Lonchura striata: one gene and its partners. The protein of the gene in region 3 purifies or fractionates together with the protein of the main gene of each other region. This does not show direct contact. Links are inferred from orthologs where the notes say so. Each region holds a gene or a part of one and is shown on either strand. Other genes may lie near its edges. The genes, in order: DHX8, CCDC12 and CRNKL1.

Region 1 (10,124 bases), on a different chromosome or scaffold from region 3:
AACTAAACAATCCCAGATCACAAGCCAGCAATTGTGAGTTAATGAGTAAGTTACACAATCAATTAATCCAGGAGCTGTATTTTAGCTCATTAAACTCCCTGGCAACTTTATCACCTTTATCTTATTTCCCTGAATGCAGCACAGACCTGTTTTATCTCCCACTTCTCTGGGTCAGAGATGCGGGTGAGGCGTTTCCGCTCCAGGCTGTCGTCCTCCACCTCGGGGGCGCTCACCAGGGACAGGTGACTGGGTCTGTCCGGGTTCCTCATGGAGGTTTCTTCGTTGGTTTCTCCAACTAGATTCCTTCTACGGTTTGGGTTCAAGTCTTCCCCAGTGTCTTGATCAACATCCTACATCAGATGGATTGATTAATCAATCAGCTCTGCATTTCTCATCTATTAACTCTGGTGATTTCTAGTGGCAGTAACATCCTGTTCACAGAAAATGCTGGTTTTTAGCTTTTTGGTTTTTTTCACCTGGTACTGCCAGGTAAGAACATCCTCAGGCATGGAACACTCTACTCTGTCTTGGCAATAGTAGTGATTTCGTTTAAAATTAAAAGTTTCTCTCCTACTGAAAAAGGAAGACAAACAGCAACAGCTTGAGGTTTGCCTTGCCTTGTCTCTTTGATATCATATCAAGACAAGAAATTGTTAGGAACACTACATCAAAACTAGAGAAAATGTGTAAAAAGTAATAGATCATTTAAATACAGAACAGTAATTCAGTTTTTAACTCCCAACTGAATGGCTATGTATTAATTTTCATCAAAAAGAGTGAAAAATAGCTAGAAGAGGAATCATTTTAAGAATTTTAGCACCTCTGTACCTTCATGCTCAGGCTTGTTTTGGATCCAGTAAAAGATAACACTTTGACTTTCACTCTTTGTCCTTTGCTCACAACATCAGCAACATTGGCAACCCGTCCTTCTCTTCGCAGCTCTGAGATGTGCACCAAGCCTTCCCAGCGCTTCCTAGGAGTGAAACAGAGGGGCATGAGAGGGGCACACTACTGCTCTGACAGCCCTTCAGATCACTCAGAAACTACATTAAAATATGTTGCTGTCAACAGATTGTGTATGTCCACAAACTAGTTTTAGTAACAAGAATTTTCTAATTCTCTACTGTTAAACTCACTTTCCTGAAACAGCCCTTCAAAGCCCAGAACAACTGCTGGTAGCTTCATCACATCTTTAAGGTACCAGCAGAAAAGAGACCTGAGCTGAAACAGATCTGCAGTAAACAGCCAAGGGTACCTTAGTCCTTCCAGCTGCACAAAGCACCCGAACTGCATTATGCTTGTGACTTTGCCGTTGTAGATGTCCCCGATGGACGGCTCCTCAGCCGGTGGCCGGTCTATGTGCTTGTCTCTCCACCTCTCATGGCTCTTTTCAAGGTACTTCTCCCGATCCCTGCGGTCCTTACTGGGACTCCAACTTCTGCTCCTCGACCGGTACCTGGATTTTCCCCTGTTCCTGTCCCAAGTCCTGGAACGGGACCTGGAGCGAGATCTGTGCCTTCGTTTCCTGTCCCTGCTACGACTTCGGCTCCTCTTCCTTTTCTTCGCCCTAACAAACCAAATTTAGATCTCTGCAGTGGATTTCACCTCAGGCAAGGAGAGCAGCCAAGACCTTCCCCCTTCCCCAAGACTCCTACCGATGGTCGCTGTCCCTCTGCTTGTCCTGCCTGTCAGCACTGGGCATCAGAGCTTCCAGTTCTTTCAGGGCATCAGCTGCCACTTTCACATCATCTTCATCCAGCATATTCTGCAAGAACAAAAAACTGATGCTCCTTTCTGCAAAAGGGCTGATAAAAAGATTGTCACAAAGAATTAATCTACAGAATTATCATCATATGTGTACCTATTTAGAAAGAATGCAAGATAAAAAAAGATCAGACTCAATATGTGATAAAGAAAGAAAATAATAAAGCACTCTCCCTGTATGGCCAAAATATTGAGACAATTCTGCTTTTATACAATAGAAAGTTCCATCTCAATGCCTCAGATTGTTACAGAAATACAAAATGCAAGTCCCTCATAGCATCTGAATATACAACATTTTTAATTAGTTTGCAACACATCATTACTTTGAACATTATGTAAGGAAGGCCAGGCTACAAATTTCATGCCACAAGAGTCTCATCCTCCACATATTTTGCAAAACAGTATGAACATGGCAATTGCTAACACCTATTCTTTGCAACAATGTGCAGTAACACCAGCCTTCTACCTCTTCCGTATTTTATTTCTCAAAGTTCACATTTATTCATGCATTAGACAGAGAAAAAAGGTTGAAACTGACTGGGGGAAAAAAAAAAAAAGTTTTCACACAGTCACAAAAGAAATCTGAAATTACAACCTTACCCTGATGTTGGGATTGTCTGGCCTGCAAAGGGCTGGATACAATTCCCTCAACTTTTCTTTCTCGGATTTGGGTTTGACAACTGCCTCTAATTTTGAGATTCAAAAAGAAGAAAAAAAAAAGCACAATGAAACACAAAACTCAGAACTGCTACAACAATTCACTCTTCGTTTTTCTGTAATTGAATATAAAGTTTAATTTTTGTCTGAACGCAAAGGCTGATACAGCTTTTACAGAGATTCAATTCAAGGAATACCGTGTTGCCTTCCTTCAGAGAAAATTCTGATTATTAGTGAATATTTGAAAGACTGACCACTCTGAGCAGCACCCTCAGAATAACAGCAGCAGCAAGCATGGTGCAAGAGGATTTGCCTTACAAGACTACAGCAGGAGCTGCACCAGTCTCACCCCACCTACCTTTGCTCGTGGATGGTTTTGGTGGAGGCCGCATCGTCTGGATGAGACGGAGCAAGTTACTGATGAGGGAATCCTGAAAAAAAATCAGTAAAATACTTCAGGAAATGACTGCAACACTTTCATTATTACAAGGCACGAGTGGGGGTTTATTCGCAGAACAAAATATGCTCAATTCTGAAGATGCAGGTTGATTTTTAGAAACTATCACTGGGCTTTGTGTATGCCCTAAAAAGGCGTAAGTTGAACTCAAGTCACTTAGATGAAATTATCCTAATTGTCTTTTTCTGTTAATAATTTTAATCAACTATTCAATCCAAGCACAATTATTCCTGAGACATCAATAAATACAGCATATAAGCATCCTAAGAAGACTTATGATATCTGCCTTCATGAAAAGTTGTTTCTTCCGTATTTTATATGCTCAACACAACAATAAGCAGCTTGAGTCCTCAGGAAGAGGCTTTTCAAAGACTACAAAATTTTTTAAAAATACGAGGAAGGGGAAGGCAGAGGAGACAGGAATATCAGAAGCTATTTAGTATGCAGTTTTCCAATTGAAGAAAACCAATAGTAACTGCTCATAACTCTCTTTAAATCGGAAAGCTCTATAAAATATGGCACAACAAGAATAACACATAAACAAGGTTCAGGCGCCACTTACAGTGAACTCAGCACCATTCTTCAGAAGAATTGCTTTAAATGTGTCAAACGTGGTATTTTTCTCGGCAAGACTTATGACAAACTCGGCTGTGAGGAAAAAGCACAAAGTAAACTGAAGCAAGAACGTAAAAAAGCAGAGTAAGGACTGCACGTGTGGCAGAAGCCGCTCTGGAGGTGCGGGACCATCCGGGCCCGGGGAGCTGCTCCTCGGCTCTCCCCGGCAGCCCACATCGCAGCGTTCCCTCAGGCTCACAGGTTTTGGTTTTTTTTAAGAAAAATACTGTTTTTTAACGAAAAGCACCTTCACAAAACGCACCCGGCCGCGCGGAAAGGGCTGCTGCGGCCCTGAGCAAGCCCGCCCTGTCCGTGCGCGGAGCTCGCCGCGCCCGCCCCGCTCACCCAGGTCCTTGTCGTTGATGCCCAGGTGGTTGTCGAGCTCGGTGCAGACCTTGGACACCAGCGACAGGTACTCGAGCTTGGCGAGCTCCTCGGCCGCCGCCAGCTCCGCCATGGCCGCCGCGGCCGCTTCCGGGACGCGCCGGAAGCGGGGCCGGGACAGCGGGGCGGGGCCGGAAGCGGGGCCGGGACAGCGGGGCGGGGCCGGAAGTGGGGCCGGAAGTGGGGCCGGGACCGGGGCCGGAAGCGGGGCCGGAAGCGGGGCCGGGCCGGAAGCGGGGCCGGGACAGCGGAGCGGGCCCTGCCGGGATGATGAGACCGAGCCGTGCCGGGCCAGCGGGCGGGATTTGCTGGGCACCGAGCCTTGCTGGGCGAATCGGCGCGGCCGTGCAAAGGCTTTCCCTAAACCAAAGCGGAAAGGCGCTTCCGTCCCCAGCGAAGGCCGGCGAGCTGCGGTAGCCCGAGTGTCGCGTTCGGGGCACGCCGGGTACGGAGCAGAACGGCGGGGGGAGAGCCAGCCCGGGACTTGTGGCTCCGCTTCTGTCCCCGACCCCGCCGGGCACGGCCGAAGCCCCGGCCCGAGGAGCTGAGTGCGCCCCAGGCAGCGGCGAGGAGCGGCCGGGCTGCCGCGCCCGCCGCCCGCGGCAGGAGCTCGGCTACGAACCCCACCCCAGCGCCTGTGCTCGCCCGAAATGAGACACAGAGGTCACATCTGCTCTGTAGAATATATTATAAATTATATCATGCATCCATTAGCAAAATATACAAAGCCAACAGAAATATAGCTATCTTAAGCCTGAGCATACAGCATCTAAACTCTAGGAAAAAGGAGCCTAAAGAGAACAGCATCTCACACCTGCCACTTCAATCTGCAGTGAAGTGCTCCACTTCAAATGCTTTAGTTTTGTACTTTATAGAACATATGAACATCCCAAATACAAAGGTACACATGGCAAACGTGGGTCCTGCTGGGCCTGACAGACCCCAGCAAATATAAAACCACACTGTGCTTCAAAGTCTCATCAGCTTCTGCATTTCACCCCTGTCCGTCCTCCTCCTTGCTCTACAGCTGGCATTAGTAAAAAGATACTCAAAACAACACACCGAAGGTGGAAAGTTACAGAAGGATCTTTAACTGGTCCACAGCACATAGTTGTACTGGTGTACAGAGAGATGGGAAACACTGCAAAATACTTCTACTGTATTTCAAAATAAACATTTAAGAGTATATCTTCCACAATCTATAAAAATAGGTTTAAAACAGAAGTGGTATGATACATTTGTTTTCTTCAACTATTTCAATGGCATTTTATCTCTATGGGTACTAAAGTCTTTTTAAAAATTATTGATAACCTGGTCAGCACAATACTGACACTGTGACAAAACGGAATACTAGTTTGAAGCAGGAGCAATATAAAATACTTCAGAATCAATGGTCTCTTACTGCAGCAAGGAAAAAATGTTTACTCGAAAGTAAGAACATAGCCAACACTGTCACCTGCTGAGGGACTGAACTCTGAGGAGTTATCTGGATACCCCACTGCACAGCAGTGGCTGGTGCTCATTTATGTCATTCTTTAGAATCAAATCTCTCAGCATATTTAGAAGGAAATTCTTAGATTTCCAAATTAAATCTGGGTATCTAAAAATCTTATAAGAAAATGAATTCTACAGATGTGGCTATGGAAACACAGGACCAGCTAAAACCATCAGAGGAGACTGTACATTTGAAAGTGCTTAAGTTAATGCATTTTTCAAACTCTAATGTAAAGTTATGTGATCCCTGCTTCACCCATTCTTTCCATTCCTAAACATTTCCAAAATTTGTACTCCAGTTCAGGTCTGGGTTCCTACACATTCTTGCATTTTTTTAATGTGGTATTAACAGAGTAAAATGTTTGCACTATTGTGAAAAAAGATAATGGTCAAATTTTTTATATTTTTACTAAGAGCCTGTAAAGATTCCTAGAAAATGCTTTCCTACCCTGACACTCCATTTTTAACAAAATGTTTTATGTAGGTTATACTTCTACTATTAGGGATCTGGTGTGCACTATCATTAGAGGTTCAATTGCTGGTGGTAATTCTCCTGCTTCATTCTGCTACAAGAAGCAACAACTTTACTGGAATTCATCAGTTGAACTGCAGTTACACTTTTAGACTTTTCAAAAGTCATTTGATGATTCAAGATGGCTTTCTTTTATGAGCAACTTCTTTTTCTTAGAATAATTTTTAAGATTTAAATTTGTCACTTTACTATCAAACATTGGAAAACCAGTTACTAAATCCTCAGAAGAAACAACCTCCTAGTTGCAGGCATCTCTTGTAAATTAAGCAGGACTACATTTTAGAGCAGCATTTTACACCAGTTTCTATTCCAAAGCTAATTAAGCCGACAAATTTCCAGCTGCCTAAAATAAAAAGTATATACACAATAAAATGGGAAGTTCTCATCTGGGTACAACATTTAATTCTACATGATTACCTGGTAAAAGGATTTGATCTGAAATCAGAGATTTGAAGACTACTCATTTAACTAAGAGGTCCAAATCATAACTGAAATTCTGGTATCCATTTCAAGAGATGCCACAAGGATTGTTTGACATTTCCATGAGGGTAAAAAGAAAAAGAAGTCAAATGCTCAAAGAAAAGCTGAAGCTTTAAGTCAAACCTCCAAACAGAGCAGCTGAGGAGCAGCCTGCTACTCTCGCTATCTTTAATCAGAGTTTACTCAATGAAGAATATTCCTCTCTCCACCAGGCAGCTTTAGCACCTACTGCACCAGTCTCTGTTACTGATCTGAAGCAATTCAGTCACCACTTCAATCATGTTATTGTTGTGTTTCTTCAGCAGCTGCAGGTTTAACTGCCTGTCACAGAATCCCATCTCACACAGACTGGACAGCAGAGAGGCAGTCTGCTCTTCTGGAGCTGCAGGCTGCTGAAAACAAAAGGGAGTAAGGTTAGTTTAAAAAGTTAATTTATTTTTTGCCATTTGAACTAGCAGCCCTGCATTATACTAGAATCAAACTGAGGCACAGAGGCTCTTCTGGCCCCATTTAAGCTATTTATAATCCCTTTCACTGCTCACTTATGAAAGTGAGGTATTACTCTTACATAATGCTACAAGAGGCATGCTTTCATCCCTAGGGCAAGGATTTCCCAGTCTGCTGAGAGAAGCAAACCTCAAAGAGACACCATCAAACTTAACATTTTACTCTTACATTAACTCCAATATAGAATATTGATACACTTAAAAAACATACACCTGTAAATTGAAGGTTATCATTCTATGGTACTCACACAGCACACAGAAAGACATTCACCTGTTCAATAATGGGTGGTCCAGCAAATAATGCTTTGTAGGCAGAAGCAGCAACTGACAAAGCTCCTTTCACGAGTTCTCCTGCAATGCTGCTGCCTTGAGGGTACCTGTGAGGAGACCAGGTGCTGCTTTAGGGTCAGTAAAGCCAAGGGTTTGTATCAGTGAAAGGCAAATTGCTGCCTGTTGAGGCAAAGACTGTTGGAGACAACAGCCCGTGATCCAAAGGAATCAGCAGTGTTTGGGAAGTGAGCTGTGCAAGAAGCTCATTCCTTTTTCTTGACACCTCTTATTGAATTGTGGGTGTATGCTTTCCATGAAGGGACCTTTTGTAAAGAGTTCAGTGCTCTCATCTAGAAGAGAACACACCTACATAAAAGCTGTGCACTGACACATCCATTCAGGGTAGGCTAACTTCTATTTGTTTTCTATGAATACTTAAATTACTTCATATTCTACTCAACATTTTGACTTACCTCTCCAATCTCAGTATTTTAAGACTACTTTATAGCTAGCTTGTAAAATCATCATCCTAAGAATGCTGAGATTTTCTAGAAAAAAAACCCACAGAATTTTAGAAGCATTCAACTCAAGCTCTTCATTAACTTTGGCTTGCCAGTTCTGCATCCTTTTGATTTGTGCCCAAATAGAAACCAAGATCTTGTGAAAACATAGCATGTTTGCTTTAAGAAGGGAGGCCTCTCTTAAATTAGTGACTATATGAAATCTGTAGGCCAGAGCTTTTTCCTAGGTGTCTAATTAAGCTGTTCTCAGTCTAAAATAGTGTTTGTGAAGTCAGAGCTTCACCTTCATTACCTCGGGTATTCTGTGAACTTAGTGAGAAATGCAGAAGATCCTGGCCCATGAGTATCTTCACCACTGGGTTCTGGAAGAGGAAGACAAAATGTCAACATGTCCAGTTAATGACAATTAAGCTGGAGAAATGCCACACATACATAAACAGAAAAAAGTGTGTCTCAGTACAACAGTAATACTCTAAGTTTAGTTATGTAGACCAGGTATCCAGGATTCTCACTGCAGTGAAAGCAGTCAGAAGATTTTCAGAACCATATGACTGATTCATCAGTGGTGTTTAACACAAGAGGAAATGCTGTCTCAGTGACTGTAACAGCAGCTTAAATACATAGCTCATCAATTCCATAGCAAGGGATTTTTCCAGATGCCTGTATGTACTTTTGAGTATCTTCTTACCATTTCTCATAATAGATGCTCTTAACTGATCTACAAAGTCAATTATTTCTTTATTTGCAACATCCACATAGCAAAAGTTCAACACCTAGAGAAAAACTAAAATCTTTACTTGATAGATTTCTGCTCTCCTCAAAAGAAAGGAGACATCAAATTCAATACTAGGCATAAGGAATAGATGATAGCAATAGTCTGCACCATTTAAATACTGTCAATACCTTCTCTTTGTATGTGATCATGAGAAGCAGAAGAGATACGCTCTGAAGCTGGTGTGTTTGATTCTTGGAAGATAGAATTCTGAAGAGATGAAAGATTCCTGAGAACATAAGGCAAAAACATCACTACTTTTTTTCCACATGTACACACATAAATAAGTCACGATAACAGAAAAAAGAAAAAACTTCACATGCTCCCATCTCTCCCTCTCTTGCACTCACCTAAATCAGTGAGTTAAAAATATAGAACCTAAAATACAGAGCCTAAATCAAGTTCTATAAAATTGCAGGATTTAAGAACATTTAACTCAGTATATGATAAAATTTTTGTTACAATTCCTACTTGCAAAGCACTAGACCTTGCAGACTCTACAGCAATACCAGCATCACCATTTTGTTCTTGTCCCCAAGTCATACCTTTGTGCCTGGGGTAAGCTGTCCACATCTGCTGGGGTTAATGGTACTGCAGCCATTTGGGAAGTTGTCACTGTATCACTGACCCTCTGGATCTGTGGCTGGCTTCCCCCTTCTGCGTTCTCTGCTACTGTTTCAGGTTCTCCTGTCTTTTCCAAACCAGGCTGAGAAAGAGCTGAACTATACATGGAGTCACCCAATGGCCGACTGGTGTCAAAGCACTCAGGGAGAATAATGATGTATTCCTCTGAGGAAGCAGAGGAGCACTGACTCTGAACATCATCCTTATCATCTTCCTCTTCATCACAATTGCTAATACCACTACGGGGGCTTGTGCTCTCATTAGACAGTAGAAGGTCCCCTAGTAGGAAAAAAAGTGAGGTATTACCATTGTCCATTTTGTATGGACAACAGCAGAGACACAATTCTCCTAGCTGTAAGAGACAAGTATTTAGAAACAACTGTAAATCTTAGCTGCTGCATTAATGGTGTCATTTTCCCTGTTGTGGGGAGGGTGTAGTGTGAAAGTGTAATAGATCTTAATGTTAAGCCTTTGCAAATATACTGCTGGTATTAATGCTCATAGTAAAAACTGAAGTAAGAGCTACACATAGGATTTAAACTGTAGTTTTCAGCTCCTAAGTGACACACATTAGAAACATGGTCAGAAACACTGCAAGCTCCATGTAAAAAATATGTAGGCACCATGTATAACTTATGAGCACTTATCTGAATACCCAAGGGGAACCCTTTGGTCTCAATTTCATGTATTTAAAAAGCAGCTGTTAAACTAGCTGCTTGTTAAAGTACTGACACCGATTTTCTGATGTAATGATTCTCACAACTGGGACAACCTAACAATTCTCCTCATCTAATGAAGATCAGTTTTCCTAGAACAGTGTCAGGTCTTACACATGATTTTTTTACAGCTTTATCTTACATTCAAGCCCATTTTACTTACCACATGAATTTTCTGTCACTGGTTCTAACTGATGAATCTTTGCTTCCTTTTTGGAATTACTATTTATCATAGGGGATTCTTCAGTTATTGTACTGCAGCTGAAGGTGTCTTGCAGTGTTTGTAAAGAATCTAACAAAACCAATCAGGAAAAACAATTAAATGGTATCAA
Region 2 (10,270 bases), on a different chromosome or scaffold from region 3:
GATCCCACCTGAGCCATCCCAGCCCTCTCCTATCTCCAAATCAACATTCCCAGGCTGGAATTGTTGGGAAGAACGTCCAGGATGAAACATTTCCAGCCCGTTCCGACTTTCCAAAAAAAGCCTGGATAGGAAAGGATCCTTCAGAGCCCTCCGAGGGGTTTTATCCTGGCTGGAAAAACTTCCCAGGGCTCCGTTTCCACAGCAACTCTTCTCCCAAGCCTCTGGCGCTGGATCACGAGGAGCAAAAAACAAATCCCAGCACGATAAAAAAAAAAATAAATAAATAAATAAAAAACAGGAAAAACAAGGACAGGAGCAGCCAAAGTCCAGAGCTTTGGGAAAGGGCGGAAAAGCAGGAAAAGGCAGCGGAAAGGAGCAGTGCCGGCCCTTCCTCCCGCCGGGAAGGTGTGGAGGAGCTGGGATGTGGCTCTGGAGCCAATCCAGCCGGGAACAAAAGCTTGGGATGCAGCCAAAGGAATTTTTCCAGCTCGAGGAACAACACAGGGAATGCTCCGGAGCGATGGGAGACTCTTCCTTCCCAAAAAAAACCACGGCAAAGCTCTGGTTTTTTAAGGATTTGGGGATAAAAAGGCAGGAGAAGGAGCTGTGGAGGTCTTGGATTAGGAATTTTGGGAATCTGAGCCAGCGATCCCACCTGGATTTTACTGAGGGATCCTTTGGGAATATCAGCAGCACCCCCATAGACCTTAAAAGATGAATTCCCAGGGAATTTTCCTGGGAATTCCCTCAGAGTGGAACTTCGAGCCATCAGATCCCAGAATTTCACATAAAAAGGGGAAAAACTGGAAATCTAGGATGTGCCCAATGGGAATTCCCAAATATTGTCCCAGCAAGGAATTTTTTCCTTAAATTATGGGAAAAAGTCCTTCATCCCCTACTTTCCATGGGAAGAAAGGAAAAGTGGGAATCCCAAAGCAGGAATTCCCAGATTTTAACTTAAATCCTCTGGATAATCCTGGAATATATTCCCACAAAGAAACCTTCCCACAGCTCAGCCTCTGCTGGATTCCCTAGGGAATCTGAGCACTGCAGACAAAGGAGCAGCTTCCCATTTTTCCATGGAATTTTCAAGCAGGAACATCCTTATTCCATTGATTTATTCTCCTCTCCCGTTATTTTTTACACCAAAATATTTTTGGAGAATTTTCCTTGAGGGAATCTGATCTGGAAACTGAAGGAGCAGACAGAAGAAATTCCCTTTTTCCCTATTTTTGGTGCCTCCAACCCTAAGAGAATCCCAGAAAAACTGGATTTTTCCACAGGCAGGACACAATCCAGGTTTCTCCGTGAACAACCCAAAATTTCACCCACGAGACACCAGAGTGACAGGAAAACTCCAGGAAAAGCAAAATTCCTTAACACAAGGGATGCAAGAAACAGGGAAAATCCAGATATTTCTGAGATATTTTCCTTCCTTCAGCTTCTCCCTAATTTTTAGGAAGTCCTGGACGTCCAAGGATTTTTTTTCCAGTGAAAATCCATTGCCCTTGAAACGTTTCCCAGAGATCTGAAGCTGGGATCATTTGCATTCCCTGGATTTCTGGAATTCAGGCAGGAAAACAAAGGGATGAGCTGTCAAAGGGAACGGAACCAACGGGGAATAAAGGAAAAGGATAAAAGCCTTTAACAGCTCCCAAAAAAAAAGCAGGAAAAGCTTCCCAAGGACCTTGAGCTGCTCCACAAAAACTGCTGGAATTTTCACCAGCTCGGGATCATCCTGGGGCGGCTCCTCCTGGAATATCCAGGGTTTATTCCCATTAAAACCTGGAATTCCTGCCGGGATCGCAGCCTCAGGTTTGCTTCCCTATGGATTTCAGGCCTGGAATGTTCTGGGTTCCCTGCCCATGGAACTGGGTGAGGTTTAAGGTTTCTTCCCAAAAGAAAAATTTATTTCCCACCCTTTTTCTTTCCCACCATTTTTCCCCACCCTTTTCTTCCCCCCTCAGCTTTCCATCCTTGGAAAACCAGGAATTTTCCATAAACCAAAGAGCTCCACAGCAGCTGACTGGAATTCCCTGCCCATGGAACTTTCAGGCTCTTTCCCAAAAGAAATCCGGGATTTTGGGATTCTCCAAGGTTTGATAAAGCAGGAATTTCAACCCAAACCTTTTCCACACCACAACAGAATTCCCAAATTTCTCCCCAAAGGCCAGGAATGGCTGAGCTCTCCCAGAATCTTCCAGCAGGGTGGGAAAAGTTTTCCTTTATATCCCAGCTCTTTTCCAAGAGCTTGGGATTGTCCTCCATTCCTCTGGAATGATACTGGATCCGATCAGTTGGAAAAATTTATTTCCCATCCTTTTTCTTTCCTACCATTTTTCCTTTTCCCACTCTTTTTTTCCTCCTCTCAGCTTTCCATCCTTGGAAAACCAGGAATTCTCCACTAAAAACCAAAGTGCTGCTTGGAATTCCCTGCCCATGGAACGGGATGACCTTGAAGGTCCTTCCCACCAAAGCATCCCATGAAAGAGAATTCCCAAGGGGAATTCTGGCACAGCATCCCAAAGAGGCTCCGTGTCACTCCTCATTTCCACGGATCCCATCCCAAAGCTCCGGAAAAAAAGGACAAATCCAGCTGGAATTCCAGGAGATGAAAGGAGCCCGGGATGAGGTTTGGGATCCCAAGGAGCCTTTAATCCTTTTTTTTTAATGGAGAGGGATGAAAAGAGGGAATTAGGGAAAATCTCCGTGCACATTGCCATGGAGATGGGAATGGCAGGGGAGATTGAGGAAAAGCCAATCCCAGGTTTTTTTTAGGAATTAACCCTCCCTGGCAGGAAACGGGGAGATCCTGTTCAAGGAGAAGAAGGAAAGTTTTTGGAATGGGGTTTTTCCCAAGATTTTGCCTCCGCTGGTGATGGGAAAAGAGTTCTGGAATCCTGGAATTTTCGAGGTTGGAAAAGCCTTGGAGATGGAGTCCAACCATTGCCAGCACTGATCCGGGTCCCACAGCCACGGGATTTCAATCCCTGTGGGATTGGGAATTCCACCCTGCCCTGGGAGCAGCACCCCAAAAATCCCAGAGGCTGCACATGGAGGGGGTGAGGGCAGGGAAGAGCCGATCCTCTGTCCCACCACATCCCAAAAAACTCAGGATCCATGAGGGACCCTTGGACATCTCCAGCCCCTGTGGGACCCCAAAATCCTCAAATCCCTTCCTGCCCCATCCCAAATAACTCAGGATCCGTCTGGGATGTGACACCCCCAGTCCCTTTGGGACCCCAAAATCCTCAAATGCCATCCCACCCAAAGAAGAGAGGATCCCAAAAAACTACGGATCCGTGTGGGATGTTCTGATTCCCCTCCAACATTCCCTGCCCCTCTGGGACACCAAAATCCTCAGCCCCATTCCAAACCTTCTGCATCCCAAATCCCACACCCACCCCCAACATTCCCAGCCCCATTCCAGACTGCCTGCATCCCACATCCCAAAAAACTCGGGATCCACATGGGATGTTCTCATTCCTCTCCAACATTCCCAGCCCCATTCCAGACCCTCGGGAGCCCCAAAATCCTCAGCCCCATTCCAAACCTTCTGCATCCCAAATCCCAGAGCCACCCCCAACATTCCCAGCCCCATTCCAGCCCCTCTGGGACCCCAAAATCCTCAGCCCCATTCCAAACCTTCTGCATCCCAAATCCCCACACCCACCCCCAACATTCCCAACCCCATTCCACACTGCCTGCATCCCAAATCTCAAAAAACTCGGGATCTGCGTGAGATGTTCTCATTCCTCTCCAACATTCCCAGCCCCATTCCAGCCCCTCTGGGACCCCAAAATCCTCAGCCCCATTCCAAACCTTCTGCATCCCAAATCCCAGAGCCACCCCCAACATTCCCAGCCCCATTCCACACTACCCGCATCCCACATCCCAAAAAACTCGGGATCCGCGTGGATGTCCTGAACACCCCCACACCCCAAACAACTGCGACCCACCTGGGGCCCCTCTGACACCCCAAAAGACCCGAGGACCCCAAATATCCCAAAATTCTCAGAATTCCCCTGGGCCCCTCCGCCCGGCCGCGGCACCCACGGCGCCTTCCGCGGCCTCGGCCCCACCGCGGGGCCCCTCCGAGCGCTTCCCCCGCCCTGGCAGCGCCCGGCCCGGCCCGACCTGCAGCGTCCGCTGCCTCAGCGCCTTCAGCCGCTCCCGCCGCTTCAGCGCCTCCGCCTCCAGCCGCCCCAGAACGAACCCCTCGGCCTCCTCCGCGCCGTCCATGCCGCCGCCGGGCGCCGCCATCTTGCACCCCGCGTCCCCCGCTGCCGTACAGCGCGCGGCGCGCATGCGCGGCAGGCCGGGCGTGCCGAGCGCCGAGCGTATCGATGCGAGCAATCGATTGGGGGCGATTGGGGTGGCGGTGGGGGGGGGGGGAAGGTGAAAAATTCCCCATTAAATGTTTGGGGATGCTTTAAAAGGAGATTAAAGGGGAAAACGAGGCGAAAGCGTCGGGTTCGGTTCGTGCAGGGCACCTCCGAGTGCGAGCGGGGCTCAGCTGCGCTAATCAGCGCTAATTATTTGGGGCGGGGTGCGGCTTCGCCTTGCTCACCCCATTAATGAGCGCGCGGGGATGCGGGAATAGGGAAGGGAAAGCCGAGGGTGGGGAAGGGCCCGCAGCAGGTGGAGGGGAGTCCCCGCCCCCCCCACACACACACCTGGGGGAGGTGCCGGGGGTGGGGGGGCTCGGGGCGGGGCGGAGCCGCCGCTCGGTCCCGGCCCCGGGCATGGCTTCTTCCCGGGAGCGGCTCTGCGAGCTCTGGATGCTCTACTTCGCCAAGGTGAGCCACGGCCACCGCCGCCGCCACCCCCGGGGACACCCCCCCGCCCCCGTGTCCCCATCCCCGCCTGTCCCCCATTGTCGCATCCCCCCCTGCGCTGTCACACCCCGGACCCACCCCCGTGTCCCCCCCGCACGCCGTTGTCACCTGCGCGGTGTCCCCAAAGCCACCCAGCCCCCCGTGACACCCCCCCACCGCCTTGGGGACAGCGCATCCCGCGGGGACCACCCCCCACCCGCCCATCCCGCGGTGAATTTGGGGTCCCCCCGCCCCTCTCGCCGCTCCCCAGGGGGGTTTGGGGGGTCCCCCCGGGAGGATTTTTGGGGTCCGCGTGTCGCCACCGCCCGGCGCAGGTGACATTGGAGCGGCGACAGGGCGGGGACAGCGGGCTCGGACGGGCGGGGGCCGGTTTTGGGGACCCCCGGCACCCTCTGCCAGTCCTGGGGGATGTCCCCAAGGGGGTCCCTAGGTGGGGACCCCCCCCCGCGCCACCCCAAAAGTCGCTCGTGGTCGTTTTGTCCTGAATTACCCCGGGTGGGGGCGGGTCCTGCCGGAGAGGTGGCACCCAAGTGTCACCACCCCCTTGTCACCCACCCTGGTGGGTTTTGGGGTGAAGCTGCTCCCCCAAAACCCCGCTGTGGCCCGGGCTGGGGACACCCATGGGGCCTGTCAGCTCGGCTGGCCCCGCGATGTCACCTGGGACCCTCCTCGGCACCCCAAAACGGGGTCACCCCTGCTTTGGGGGGACAGGGCCACGTGCTGGGGGGTGACACGGGGACAGGTGCCGCTGCATCGGGGTGGCCGTGGCACTCTGGGGACAGGTGCCACATTGTCCGGGTGGCCATGGGGGCACTGAGGTGGCCGTGGTTGGGTGGGGACAGGTGCCACACCATCGAGGTGGCCGTGGCACTCTGGGGACAGGTGCCATTGCTGAGCTGTGTCCAGGGGACAGGTGCCACCCTCCAGCTGTGTGTGGTCACAGAGGGGACATGGATGGGGACCGGTGCCATCCGTCAGGGGGGTGTGTGGTGGCAGGGGACACATGTCACACTGTGGCGTGTCCGTGGGGACACGTGCGGTGTCACCAGGGGCTGACGGCCCTGCAGGGTCCCATCGTGCTGTCAGGGCACTCACAGGGGACCCGTGTCACCCACGCTTGTGTGGGGACAGGTGCCACTTGTCCGGGTGTCCTGCTGGCCGTGCCACACCAGTGGGGTGGCCGTGTCACCTCTGAGGCACCAGGGACGTGGCCAGAGCCCGGTGTCACCTCCCAGCCAGGACACAGAGCAAAACCCTGTGGCCTGTGCCACAGCCGTGTCCCCAAGGCCCTGGTGAGGACAAGGCTGGGGGGACATGGCCCAGGTGATGGCGGTGTCCCCTCCATGGCAGTGTCACTCCATGGCGGTGTCCCCTCGGTGGTGGTGTCACTCCATGGCAGTGTCCCCTCCAAGTGTCCCCTCGATGGCGGTGTCCCCTCCATGGCGGTGTCACTCGATGGCGGTGTCCCCTCGGTGGCGGTGTCCCCTCCATGGCAGTGTCCCCTCCATGGCAGTGTCCCCTTGGTGGTAGTGTCCCCTTGGTGGCGGTGTCCCCTCCATGGCAGTGTCCCCTCGGTGGCAGTGTCCCCTCAATGGCAGTGTCACTCAATGGCAGTGTCACTCGATGCAGTATCACTCCATGGCGGTGTCCCCTCGATGGCGGTGTCACTCCATGGCAGTGTCCCTTCCAAGTGTCACTCGATGTCAATGTCCCCTCAATGGCGGTGTCCCCTCGATGGCAATGTCCCCTCGATGGCAGTGTCCCCTCCATGGTGGTGTCACTCCATGGCGGTGTCCCCTCCATGGCGGTGTCCCCTCGATGGTGATGTCCCCTCGATGGCAGTGTCCCTCAATGGCAGTGTCCCCTCGATGGCAGTGTCCCCTCAATGGCGGTGTCACTCAATGGCGGTGTCCCCTCAATGGCAGTGTCCCCTCCATGGCGGTGTCCCCTCGATGGCGGTGTCCCTCAATGGCGGTGTCCCCTCGATGGCAGTGTCCCCTCAATGGCGGTGTCCCCTCGATGGTGATGTCCCCTCGATGGCAGTGTCCCTCAATGGCGGTGTCCCCTCGATGGCGGTGTCCCTCAATGGCGGTGTCCCCTCGATGGCAGTGTCCCCTCAATGGCGGTGTCACTCAATGGCGGTGTCCCCTTGATGGCGGTGTCCCCTTAATGGCGGTGTCCCCTTAATGGCGGTGTCCCTCCATGGCGGTGTCCCCTCAATGGTGGTGTCCCCTCAATGGCGGTGTCACTCAATGGCGATGTCCCCTCCATGGCAGCCTCCCCTCGATGGCGATGTCACTCCATGGCGGTGTCACTCGATGGCAGTGTCACTCCATGGCAGTGTCACTCGATGGTTGTGTCCCTGTTGCCACCCCCAGCCGGTGGCCCGGGCATGGCCGCGGTGTCTCCGGTGGCTTCAAAGCAGGACAGAGCTGTTGTCACCGGCCCGGCAGGGGACAGGGGACAGGGGACAGGGGACAGGGCTGTCCCCAGGGGTGGCTGTGCTGTGCCACCCCTCCCAGGGGTGGCGGGAGCGTGACCCCAGTGCCAGCCCCGCGGGGTCACCCGGTGTCACCCGCGGCGCTCAGTGCAGGGGGTGACATCCCCCCGGCTTTGTCACCGTCACTTTTTGGGGGCTCCCGGCGGAAGGGCGGCGTTCCCAGTCTGGCATTCCCAGTCTGGCATTCCAGTCTGGCATCCCTGGTCTGGGCATTCCTGGTCTGGCATCCCTGGTCTGGCATTCCCAGTCTGGCATTCCCAGTCTGGCATCCCTGGTCTGGCATTCCGGGCTGGCCATTCCCGGTCCAAATTCCTGGCTGGGCATTCCCAGTTTGGATTTCCGGTTCGCATTCCCGGTCTGGCACTCCCAGCTGGGCATTCCCGGTCTGAATTCCTGGCTGGGCATTCCTGGCTGGGCATTCCCGGCTGGGCATTCCCGGTTCTTATTCCTGGTCTGGCATTCCCGGTTCACATTCCCGGCTGGGCATTCCCAGTCTGGCATTCCTGGCCGGGCATTCCTGGTCTGGCATTCCTGGTCTGGCATTCCTGGCTGGGCATCCAGGTCTGGCATTCCTGGTCTGGCATTCCCGGCTGGGCATTCCCAGTTCTTATTCCCAGCTGGGCATTCCCGGTTCCCTTTCCCGGTCTGGCATTCCCGGTTCGGATTCCCTGCTGGGCATTCCCGGTTCCCCTTCCCGGTCTGGCATTCCCAGTTCAGATTCCCTGCTGGGCATTCCCGGTTCCCCTTCCCGGTGTGGCATTCCCGGTTCCCTTTCCCGGTCTGGCATTCCCGGTTCGGATTCCCTGCTGGGCATTCCCGGTTCCCCTTCCCGGTCTGGCATTCCCAGTTCAGATTCCCTGCTGGGCATTCCCGGTTCCCCTTCCCGGTGTGGCATTCCCGGTTCCCATTCCCGGTCTGGCATTCCCGGTTCAGATTCCCTGCTGGGCATTCCCGGTTCCCCTTCCCGGTGTGGCATTCCCGGTTCGCATTCCCGGTCTGGCATTCCCGGTTCAGATTCCCTGCTGGGCATTCCCGGTTCCCCTTCCCGGTCTGGCATTCCCGGTTCGGATTCCCGGCGCTCCCAGGCGGCTCCGCGCCGGCCGAGCCCCGAAGCCGCCGAACAGGCTCTGCCAGCCGGGAACCGGCTGCGACAGCTCCGCGGGTGGCACCGCCACCGGCACCGGGGCACACCGGCAGCTCGGGGAGCGCCGCTCCGGTGGGCACGGCGGGAATTCCGGGATGCAGCTCCGCGCGGGTGCCCCGGCGATTTTGGAACAGCAGCTCCAGGTGGGCGCACCGGGAATTCCGGGGAGAACGCACCGGGAATTCCGGGGCACCGGCTCCGGGGAGGGCGCACCGGGAATTCCGGGGAGGGCGCACCGGGAATTCCGGGGCACCGGCTCCGGGGAGGGCGCACCGGGAATTCCGGGGAGAACGCACCGGGAATTCCGGGGCACCGGGAATTCCGGGGAGGGCGCACCGGGAATTCCGGGGAGGGCGCACCGGGAATTCCGGGGCACCGGCTCCGGGGAGGGCGCACCGGGACTTTGGGGGTGCAGCTCCCGGTGGGCGCTCCGGGAACTTGGGAGCGAGCTCAACACTCGGGCGGGATTTGGGGGTTGGATTTGCCGGGAATTCCGGGATGAAGCAGCGCAGCTCCTCGCCGCGGGGCGCCGGTGGCACCGCGGGGTCCCCGAGCGGGGCCGCGGCGGGGCAGGAAGCGCCGCCGGGGCCGCGGGTGACTTGGCATTTCCTGGCTCTGGGGCTTTTTCGGTGGCTTTGCACAAGCGACAGCGGTGACAAAAAAAAAAGGGGGGCCCCCATCCTGAGCACCCCCCGCACCCCGTTCCGGCCCCGCTGCGCCGGCGCCGCTCCCACGGCTGCGGGGCCATGGATGGCCACGGCCACCCGCGGGGACAGGTACCGGCCCTGGGGACCGGGGGACACCCCCGGCCCGGGGGACGCTCGGCGTGGAGCGGGAAGGGCGGGGGAGGCGGATTTTGGGGTGTCCCCCCCCCGCCACCCCCGTCGAGGCGGTGCCTGGCGGAGCGCCGGGATCCCGGAAAAGCGGGGACGGTCACCGTGGGAATGGGGGGACGCCGCGGGATGTGGGGGATTCGGGGTGCTCAGGGATTGGGGTGACCCCCAAGGTGCTGCATCAGGGTGTGGGGGTCCCCAGGGTGCCACAGTGGGGTGCACAGGGACCCCAAATTGGCGCAGTGCAGCGCTCAGGGCTGTGAGCGAGCCCAAAGGGCAGCGCTGGGTGCTCGGGGGCGAGAGGGACCCTAAAGGTGGCACCCTAGGGTGCTCAGGGATGGGGTGACACTAAAGGTGCCACCCTGGGGTGCTCGGGGCTCTGTGTGACCCCAAAGCGCCCCGTTGGGGTGCTCAGAGATGGGGTGACACATGTGGTGCCACCCTGGGGTGCTCGGGGCTCTGTGTGACCCCAAAGCGCCCCGTTGGGGTGCTCAGGGATGGGGTGACACTAACGGTGCCACCCTGGGGTGCTCAGGGATGGGGTGACACATGTGGCGCCACCCTGGGGTGCTCGGGGCTCTGTGTGACCCCAAAGTGGCCCGCTGGGGTGCTCAGGGATGGGGTGACACTAAAGGTGCCACCCTGGGGTGCTCAGGGATGGGGGTGACACTAAAGGTGCCACCCTGGGGTGCTCGGGGCTCTGTGTGACCCCAGAGTGCCCCGTTGGGGTGCTCAGGGATGGGGGTGACACTAAAGGTGCCACCCTGGGGTGCTCGGGGCTCTGTGTGACCCCAAGGTGCAGCCCGGGGGTGCTGAGGGACACGGGGCACCCAAAGGTGCCCTGTTGGGGTGCTCAGGAACTGGGGTGATGCCGAGGTGCCACGTGTGGTGCCCAGGACTGTGGGTGACGCCGAGGTGGCCCACGGGGTGCTCAGGGATGTGGGACACCTGAAGG
Region 3 (9,163 bases):
AGCTCAAGTATTAGTACACACATACATTTCCAATATACATGATTTGCACTCAAGGAGCAGCAAAATATACATAAGTGACTTCAAAGCATGTGTGGGTAAAGTTACGTGATTAAAGTGCTTTATATAATTTTGTGCTTCTGCAACATTTTTTCTTTCTACTCAGTTTACTATTGTTTGACTGCAATACATGCTGTACATTTCATATTGAACAGTATTAATTCTTGACTAACAACATCCAACCACATTAAACACTCAACATGTGTCTAACAAAGACATTCTTTTAAGGTTAAAAGAAAAACCACAAACCGAAAGCTCACCTGCTTCTAATAATCCTAAAGTGGTTTTTCTTTAAAGGTAGTAAGAAAAATTACATATTTTAACATGACATCATTAGACACACAAATACCAGGCAAAAACAGAGCAGACTAACAGACACCTTTATCTTGTGCACCTCCACTAAACATGGAAAACCCCTGTGCTGGAATGGCAAAGGCTATTAAATCATCTGTTCTCTAGCATATTAATTACAAGTCCTGGGTCAGAAAAGGTCTGCTTGAAGATAAAAATAATTTAAATGTAAAACCTGAGATCTTTTGAATAGTATAATATTCAATTAAAACACCACAGCTAGAGGCACCAATAAACTTCAGCAATTTAAGAGCAAGAATGATTTCAATAGAGGCTGCAGTACATGGACCAGCATCAGGACAACAAGCTATTCTAACAAACATCTAAAGACATCCCTAAAAATCAGGCAGTTTGTTTTTTTAGAAGCAAAGGGAAGAAATAAAAAAATATATTACTGTTGAGGTCCGAGAGGACATCAAGTATACCAGACGTGGACTGTAACTGTTTCTGGATAGTGCTGGTAACCAGACAATCCAGTACAGCATCTTCACTTATCCCTTTCTGCACAATTCAACTCCCACTTCAGACCCTGAAATTATTTCTGTACTCTAGGAAAAAGACAGGTCAACTATACTTCACAGAATTCCTACATTCAGATGACCTCAGTTTTGAAAAGCACACCTGCATGGATTTAACCTACAGTTTACCAATGACATCTCATCAAGTTATACGCCAGAAAATGTTCAGCTTTCTGCCAATGCAGAAGCATAAAACACTGACTCTTCTACACCTCCTTTAGCAAATAAATTCCATTCTAGAAAAATAGAATGCTGCCCGTTTAAAGATATTTTTCACTACTGGTTCTGAACAGTAATTCATTTTTCTTTTCTCTGCAGACCCCTACACCAGATCCCACAGAGCCACCACGCAGCCTGAGGGAGATCATAGCACAGCAGAACCCACAGAGAAGCTGCAGCCTGAATGAAGTGGCTGTCCACAAAATGCTGCTCAAGGGACAAAGTCCATTACTAGGAAATCACAGGTCCTTTCTGCACACTCTCTTTGGCTGTACTGGTGGTGTTTCCTTTAAGAGCACACATTTTCAAACACTTTGTCAGTTTACCTTCAAGCCATTACTTAACACTACAGAAGACCATAGGCAACTGATGAACAAAATGCCCAGAGATAACTGCAGCACTGCCAACACCTCTTAATGGCACATGCTGCACACCTTATGAGTGCTTGGGGTTTAACATTTTCTGTATTTTTTCAACAATTCCACAATCTAGTTCCCAGCTGGACTTGGTGATGTGGGAGCATTTGAGTGCTAAACTTGTAAGGGCCTGTTTCTGTAGATCCTACCAGAAAGTCACAAGCTCACCGAAGGAGCCCATGTGAAAGTCACCAGCAGCCAGCAAGACACAGAGCAGTAGTCTCCCCACCAGCACCGAAAAAGTTCTCTGCAGAACTAAGGTTCCCCTTGTCAGCACGAGGGTTTGACAAGGACTCCATCACCTTCTGTATCCTGAATGCCTCAAATCTACCAGAAACAGATCATAGATGCCTATGTGTATTTTCCATACCTGAACCTTAAATGAAAACTCAACTAAAATCACACTATTTACTTACAGTGCATTTATTGTTAGTGTAGTTTTCATGCAGGAATGGTTCCCATTCAGCCTGATCAGTGATATTCCAATTCGGATAGTCCAGAAAGGCAGCATGAGCTATAACCTCATTCTTCTCATTGCAGAGTGTTAAAGCAAGATTTGATAATTCTCTATGAAAATAATTTAATTTTGCACAAGTTAAAGAAACTCCACATAGAAAAGTGACTTACTGCAAATTCAGCCTGCTGAACAGCAAAATTAGCCATGTTCAAGAGGGTTCCCAGGATCAGGCCTGAATTAAACTTCACCATCCACATGCTGACTTGGAATTGTTACTTCAGTTCCACACATTTGTGCTCTAACATCATAAAAATTCAGGAGGATTTTCAAATCCTCATATTAGTAAATTTGAGATGCAAGACTTAAACATTCCCTTCAAAACATTTGTATGTGTCTTCACACATGTCTTTTTCCCCAAACAGCTGTTATGCGTGATTTTTGCTATTAAGGGGGAAAACATAAGTGACCCACCAGTATCTATCACACAGCCTGTCTGCTGACAGCTTTTTTCAACAGCATTTCTTCTGATCTTTTACAAAAAGAAGCTAGTACAGAATTAAACCTTCTCCATCATGGCAGAGACCCAGGTTTGCACAGTCATCATGTGACAGACATGAAAGTAGATTTTCTTTCAATTTTTAGAAGCAGCACAAAAAATCATTATGCCACACCATGTCAAGGGTCAGAATGTTTTCTGCCATTTTAAGTGTAATTTTCTGAAAGGTGACAACCTAAAACACCATTACTTACAAAAGGTAAGTGACATCAATCCTTCCAAAGAGGTCTTCTGTGACAGGTCTGAAGAGGCTGATAATGCCCGAGACATCATGTGACTTTGTCCTTCTGGCAGTGACCACATCTGTATTTCCCCTTGATGAAGTTACTGTGGCCATCCCACAAGCTGCACTGAGAACGAAGGAAAACACTTCTGGCTCCAGCCATCCACTGCCATCCCCTGCCCAACACAGTCACTTCAGGTGGGTTTTCATAAAAACTCTAAATTGGGGCAGTTTGTATGGATTTGGTGCCTGGCTCCTGCATACCACCACACAGACAGGCACTGCCTGTTCGTTGCACACCTGAAATGCAGTAGGCAATTACTCCTATGGTCTGGATCCTACAGAGGAAATTAATTGTTTTAATAGGCTACAGCTGCTTTCCTATTTATTCATTAGCATGCTAACCAGCTCATCACCAAGAACTTCAAACTCAAAGGCCTTCAGTGGGAGGCTCAGCTGTGGGCAGTCAGGGGAAGCAGGCTGGAGACTCAGCTGCAAACAACCAGGTACACAATGTTCCAATTAAACAGCAGTTTCACATGAGTTCACTGTATTTTGTCCAAAACTCCTTCTCGGATTTCTTTTGAGATCAACAGTAAGGCTTAAATTTCTGAAGGAATTCAAAGTTCTGTGGCTATTCAAAGTTCTACTGCTTTCTTACACAGAAAAAAAAAAAAAAAAAAAAGTTGTTTTTTTTTTAATGGCTCCACATTGAGAAAATGTGCCAGGCACAGCTGATATGTTGATCCGTCCAGCAACTTTAGAACACACCGGGGCATCAGATCCTCAAACCACTTGTGACCATTCCCTCGGGTCTAACACCCTTTAGTTCTGTGTCTCTGTGTCTCCGCTCAGTACTGCAGCCTGCTGTGACCCAGTCAACAATCAAGCACGTGAAATAAAGCGACCAAACAATGGCTTCCCGCAATTTCTTAAAATTCATATGCAAAATATAGCAGTACTAACTTAAAAAAAAAAAAAAAATCTAAGCCAACACACCTGGACCAGCAGAGCAATTCCACCACTCTGCCAAACACAACAGCCACTTCCAACAGTGACCCCAAATGCAAATGTGATGCTCAGTTATCAAGCACCTCAATTCCTAACTAAAATGAAAAACCAAAAGAAATTCGGACTTTCACACCTTTTAAATACAGAGTTACATGCACTCCTACATCTTTCACATTCCAGCGTCAACGCAGGTCCTGAAATTAACCTGAAGGAACACATCCTCTGCAAACATGCGTCAATTTTAAAAATGAAAACTAACACGAACTTTAAAGGGCTATTCATCGGCTGAGGTTTAGCGCACTAAGATGACTTCAACTGAGGAAAACTGCTACGTTTTCAGTCAATTTTTAAGTTAACCCCCCCCCCCCCAAAAAAAAAAAAAAATACACGCATCTCCACCGGCTCCCCAAAACGCTCCCACAGCCAGAGAAAGCAGTAAAAATGTACCATTTTCGTAAGGAAATACGCTGCTCCTACAGTAACTTCTGCACTCGTCCCGCGGAGCAGGATCCCAGAGACACCCAGCAGAACAAGAAGAGGAGGGCGTTCCCCTCCCGCACTCAGAGCACTTCCCTCCCGCCTCCTCACACAAACGCTCTCTTGAAGCATAAGACTCCACGCGGTTTCTTTGGTGTTTGTAGCCCACATACCTCGGGAGGGCTGCGAAGAGCTGTGGAAGGCTACTGCGGGAGGCTCTTGAGGGGCACCCCTGGTGACTTGGGGCGGGGCGGAGCCGGACCGAGTCGGACCCGGGGCGGTACGGCGGGGGCTGGACACGGGGGCTGGACACCGGGGCTGGACACCGGGGCTGGACACGGGGGTTGGACACCGGGGTTGGACACCGGGGCTGGACACCGGGGCTGGACACGGGGGTTGGACACCGGGGCTGGACACCGGGGCTGGACACGCCCGAGGCGGCCTCAGGACCCCCGGCCGCGAGCCCCCTCAGGCACGGTGGCCACGCCCACGCACGCGGACAGACCTACACCGCCGAGCCGCCAGGGGGCGCCCCGCCGAGCGCGTGCATCGCCCGGCCAGCAGCGCGCGCACTCACCTGCCCTGTCCCCGGCGCTGCAGAGCCAAGTGGCCACGGAGCGCCCCAAGGACAGGAAAGACAGCGCAGATGGAACAGCTGAGCCCACGGACGAGACAGACCGAGCGGTCCTACGGACGGAACGGACAATCCCACCGCCCTCCCGCCGCCGACCGGGACGCGTCGCTGTTGCCGCGGCAACGACGCTCGGGCGGTGCTGCGTGAGGTCAGGGGTGCCGGGGCGGGGCCGGCGCGCGCAGCGGCGGAAAAATGGCGTCTACGGCAGCGGGGAAGCAGCGCATCCCCAAAGTGGCGAAGGTGGGTGGCGGGGAGGGCGGCGGGGACCCCCCGGGACCCCTCGATACCCATTCGTCTCGGGCTTCGCGTCCCGGCGGGCTCCGACCCCGCCCGCGCCGGGCACCGCGCTTCGCGAGGCGCCGGAGGAAATTGATCGTGCCGGTACTGCGTTAAGAAATGTGAGCCGAGCCCCCCTTGTCCTTACCTTGCAGGTGAAAAACAAGGCACCCGCCGAAGTTCAGATCACAGCGGAGCAGCTTCTGAGAGAGGCAAAGGAGAGGGAACTCGAACTTCTCCCACCGCCTCCGCAGCAGAAGATCACAGATGTTGAAGAGCTAAATGACTATAAACTCCGGAAGAGGAAGGTACAGTTAAAAAGAAAAAAAAACCGGTTTAATCTTGACACTCATATAAAGCACTAAAATTCCACTGTTTTTAACTTAAACAAGATGTAGTCCCTATTCCTTGTGGGCTTTCCAGTTGAACACAAATTCTTTAAAACCTTTTTTCATGCTACTCTTTAGCAGAACCTGCAATTTACAGATGTGTTGCTTGAAACTGTGCCTGTGTTCAGAACACTGAAAGGGTAATTATTTACACAATTAATAGGAGTTTTCTTCATTACCAGCAGTATCTGGCCAGCCACTATAAAAATATGAACAAAGACAGTAAATGACACTACAGTAATGCTGAGTTATAAATCTTCTGTTGAAAGAATTGCTTTGCTCATGCAGATTTACCCATGGTTTTGCTTGGCTTTTTGCTTTGAAAGTACCTAAGCTAAGCAAGCATATTCCTGATGGTTATTATAATACCCCATAAGCCATTTTTGATGTGAATTGTCTGCACAAGGATTTCTGACTTACAGATAAAATTTTCTCCTCAGACTTTTGAAGATAACATAAGAAAGAACAGGACTGTTATCAGTAACTGGATAAAGTACGCACAATGGGAGGAAAGCCTGAAGGAAATACAGAGGTAATGATGATGTGACTGTAGGCATATCTTAAGGGCGTTTTTAGACACACACTAAAGTCTAGGAGGCACATTTTACCTGCCCTGTACTCATGTTTTCCAGAGCCCGTTCCATTTACGAGCGTGCTCTGGATGTGGACTACAGGAACGTCACCCTCTGGCTGAAATATGCCGAGATGGAGATGAAGAACCGCCAGGTCAACCATGCCCGGAACATCTGGGACCGGGCCATCACCACCCTGCCTAGGGTGAACCAGTTCTGGTATGGTGGCCAAGCAGTGAGATCCCCTTCTAGCCCCAAAGACCCCCACAGTATTTGGCTGTTCTGGGGTTATACAGATTATCCTGCTTCTCTTCAGGCTGGTCTGAAAAAAATGGAGGAAAGCTGAAGTTTTGGAAAGGTTTTGTACTTTTTAAGTGGTAAGAGCCTTGGGAGAGAAGGGTGTTTGTGTGCCTGGATACTGCCAGTCACTGCTGTGCTTACAGACATTTCTGGGGTGGGAGGAAATAGGTGAGGGGAGCTCAGGGATACTCTTAGGAAGCACTCCAGAAATCCCTGAATGGATATGTTCCCCATGTGATTGCAGAAACTCAATCTCCTTTCTCCAGGTACAAGTACACATACATGGAGGAGATGCTGGGGAATGTCGCTGGGTCACGCCAGGTGTTTGAACGGTGGATGGAGTGGCAGCCAGAGGAGCAAGCCTGGCATTCCTACATCAACTTTGAGCTCAGATACAAGGAGGTGGACAGAGCACGAGGCATTTATGAGAGATATATCCTTTTCAGAGTCTTGTGACTCCTGCCTGAGTTAAGGTCTCCATTCTTTATTTCCTTCCTAAATATTCCATGTCCAGCAACGTCCCTGTACTCCTTTTCACTGTGGTGTGCTGGGAATGACCCACCACCCTGGGAACCAGCAGGAGGTGTTAAAAGCGTGTTTAGGGAAAGCCTCCAGATTCAGTGGAGTGGCTGCAGGTTGTACCACAACAGTGTCTGTTTAACTGCACTGCTCATGCACCCAGCTCTTTTGTAGCTATCGTTTGTTTCTCCTCAGATATTCCCTGACCCTTATCCTTTTTTAAGTTCACAGTAAGGCACAAAACCTTTGCATGCTTATACCTGTCAGTGTCTTCTTCCTAGCTGCATTTATTGTTCCCCACATGTACCATCCTGGTAGGTGTTTGATGAAGTCCTTGACCCAGTAGTCCCTGGGAAGAACACAGCTGGGGATGTGCCACTCGGCCAGCACTGTTTCTTTAACAATAGCTGTACTTGTCCTCGTTCACCCTGACGTGAAGAACTGGATCAAATACGCGCACTTCGAGGAGAAGCACAGCTACTTTGCCCACGCCAGAAAGGTGTATGAGAGGGCAGTGGAGTTCTTCGGGGAGGAGCACATGGATGAGCACTTGTATGTGGCATTTGCTAAGTTTGAGGAGAACCAGAAAGAAGTAAGTTTTTCTTGATCTGAGTCATGCCAGTGTTTCTCCTTGAATATCAAACTAAAGGCATTTAACATTCACTGCAGTACTTGCAGTTCTCAGCCCCTCATGACTGTAGTCTGAATTAGGGAGACAGTTTTTTGCTCACCTCTAGTTGCCTTTTGGTGCCATCAATAAAATGTGTTCTAAGGGAGATCTGCCAAGCCCAGGACCAACAGCATTGGCTCAAACATGTATCCTCAGACTGGAGGGGTTCTGAGAGGTTATGGGCCTGCATGATAGAAAACTGGATTGGTCTAGATGTTTTTCACAGTTTCTAAGGTTCCCAGGCTGTTATGAAATTGAAGACATTCTGTGAACCCCAAACCACAACCTCTTAAATTGGTTTAAATATTCTAAACCTGTAAATGAATAAGAGATGATGGGGGCTGGCATTTTCAGATTTATTTTTTCCCCCTCAGAGTTTACTCTTCAGGGAGATCTGTGTTAGTCCTCTTTTAAAACAATTGCTTATGTTGGAATGTCTCACCATTCTGTATTCTATTAAATATTGCCAAAAGCTCATTGAAATGCTGTCAGGGAGGACAGAAACTGCTTTGTAAATATTTATGAAATTATATTTAATATTTTTAGTTTGAAAGAGTGAGGGTTATCTACAAGTATGCCTTGGATAGAATTCCAAAGCAGGACGCCCAGAATCTCTTCAAGAATTACACCATCTTTGAGAAGAAGTTTGGAGACAGGAGGGGAATTGAGGACATCATTGTCAGCAAGAGGAGATTTCAGTATGAAGAGGAGGTGAAGGTATGTAGGACAGGTACCCTCCAGGCTCACTGTACAGCCAGCTGGTGTTTAAGGGACACGAGTATTTTGTGATATCAAGGCTGATGAGTTTCAAGTTACCCTTGAAAGTCAGTCCAAAAAAACACCAAGGGAATATTCATTTTAGAGACAGAATTCCATCCCTGGGGAAGAGAATGGTATCTAAATTCACTGCTTTTTTTGTTTCTGCTTTCTAATCTAGATTGTGCAGGTGAGGGTTTTGGATTGAACTCAAGGCTTGGTACCCTTAAGGATAATGCAGTTTAGCTTGTGGTTACTACTTAGGGAATATCCATTATAGGACACCTCACCTGTGCATAAATACCTTTTAGTGAGAAAACACCTGTGCCACACCTGTCTGCTGTTCAGTCCACACTGCACATTTCATCACTCCTCATCCCTTCTGACACTTTGCTTGGACTGCCTTCATTGAGACAATGCTGAGGGCAAAACAAAAACAAAATTTAAAGAAAAGTCACTTTTCCTAAGCTAAAAGCTCTACCGTAACCATCCCCAAGACTGACAGTTTTCATTAATATTCCAGTGATCTGTTTTAAAGGGGAAATTCTGACTAAGTAAAGCATGAGGCTCTGTTAGTTTTAGTGACTGCAGCTTGTTTGCTGTTGCCCCATTCCCGTCTCTGAAAGGCAAACCCCCACAACTACGATGCATGGTTTGACTACCTGCGGCTGGTGGAGAGCGACACGGACACCGAGACTGTGCGGGAGGTGTATGAGAGAGCCATTGCCAACGTGCCCCCCATCCAGGAGAAACGCCACTGGA

Evidence for each region.
Region 1: the proteins of CRNKL1 (region 3) and DHX8 purify together in Homo sapiens (affinity purification with mass spectrometry; 3 studies listed by BioGRID and IntAct, counting the BioPlex papers as one, with this or other methods). This does not show direct contact. The link is inferred for Lonchura striata from reciprocal best matches to the Homo sapiens genes CRNKL1 and DHX8.
Region 2: the proteins of CRNKL1 (region 3) and CCDC12 purify together in Homo sapiens (co-immunoprecipitation; 3 studies listed by BioGRID and IntAct, with this or other methods). This does not show direct contact. The link is inferred for Lonchura striata from reciprocal best matches to the Homo sapiens genes CRNKL1 and CCDC12.

What each region holds. Positions count from the first base shown.
Region 1 is NC_134627.1:6,041,371-6,051,494, forward strand, and holds the start of DHX8 (ATP-dependent RNA helicase DHX8), read right to left. Parts: upstream 3,998-10,124; 5' UTR 3,951-3,997; coding exon 3,839-3,950; intron 3,527-3,838; coding exon 3,441-3,526; intron 2,853-3,440; coding exon 2,780-2,852; intron 2,451-2,779; coding exon 2,365-2,450; intron 1,766-2,364; coding exon 1,656-1,765; intron 1,568-1,655; coding exon 1,256-1,567; intron 974-1,255; coding exon 829-973; intron 351-828; coding exon 147-350; intron 1-146. Other genes in the region: NBR1 (next to BRCA1 gene 1 protein), read right to left, coding at 6,602-6,775, 7,161-7,266, 7,973-8,042, 8,584-8,681, 8,998-9,355, 9,956-10,084.
Region 2 is NC_134603.1:155,997,539-156,007,808, forward strand, and holds the start of CCDC12 (coiled-coil domain-containing protein 12), read right to left. Parts: upstream 4,285-10,270; 5' UTR 4,264-4,284; coding exon 4,138-4,263; intron 1-4,137.
Region 3 is NC_134605.1:28,351,467-28,360,629, forward strand, and holds the start of CRNKL1 (crooked neck-like protein 1), read left to right. Parts: upstream 1-5,025; 5' UTR 5,026-5,111; coding exon 5,112-5,159; intron 5,160-5,350; coding exon 5,351-5,503; intron 5,504-6,024; coding exon 6,025-6,116; intron 6,117-6,216; coding exon 6,217-6,375; intron 6,376-6,722; coding exon 6,723-6,889; intron 6,890-7,388; coding exon 7,389-7,567; intron 7,568-8,191; coding exon 8,192-8,362; intron 8,363-9,027; coding exon 9,028-9,163. Other genes in the region: CFAP61 (cilia- and flagella-associated protein 61), read right to left, coding at 1,978-2,128, 2,769-2,911. UniProt on the Homo sapiens protein: Involved in pre-mRNA splicing process. As a component of the minor spliceosome, involved in the splicing of U12-type introns in pre-mRNAs.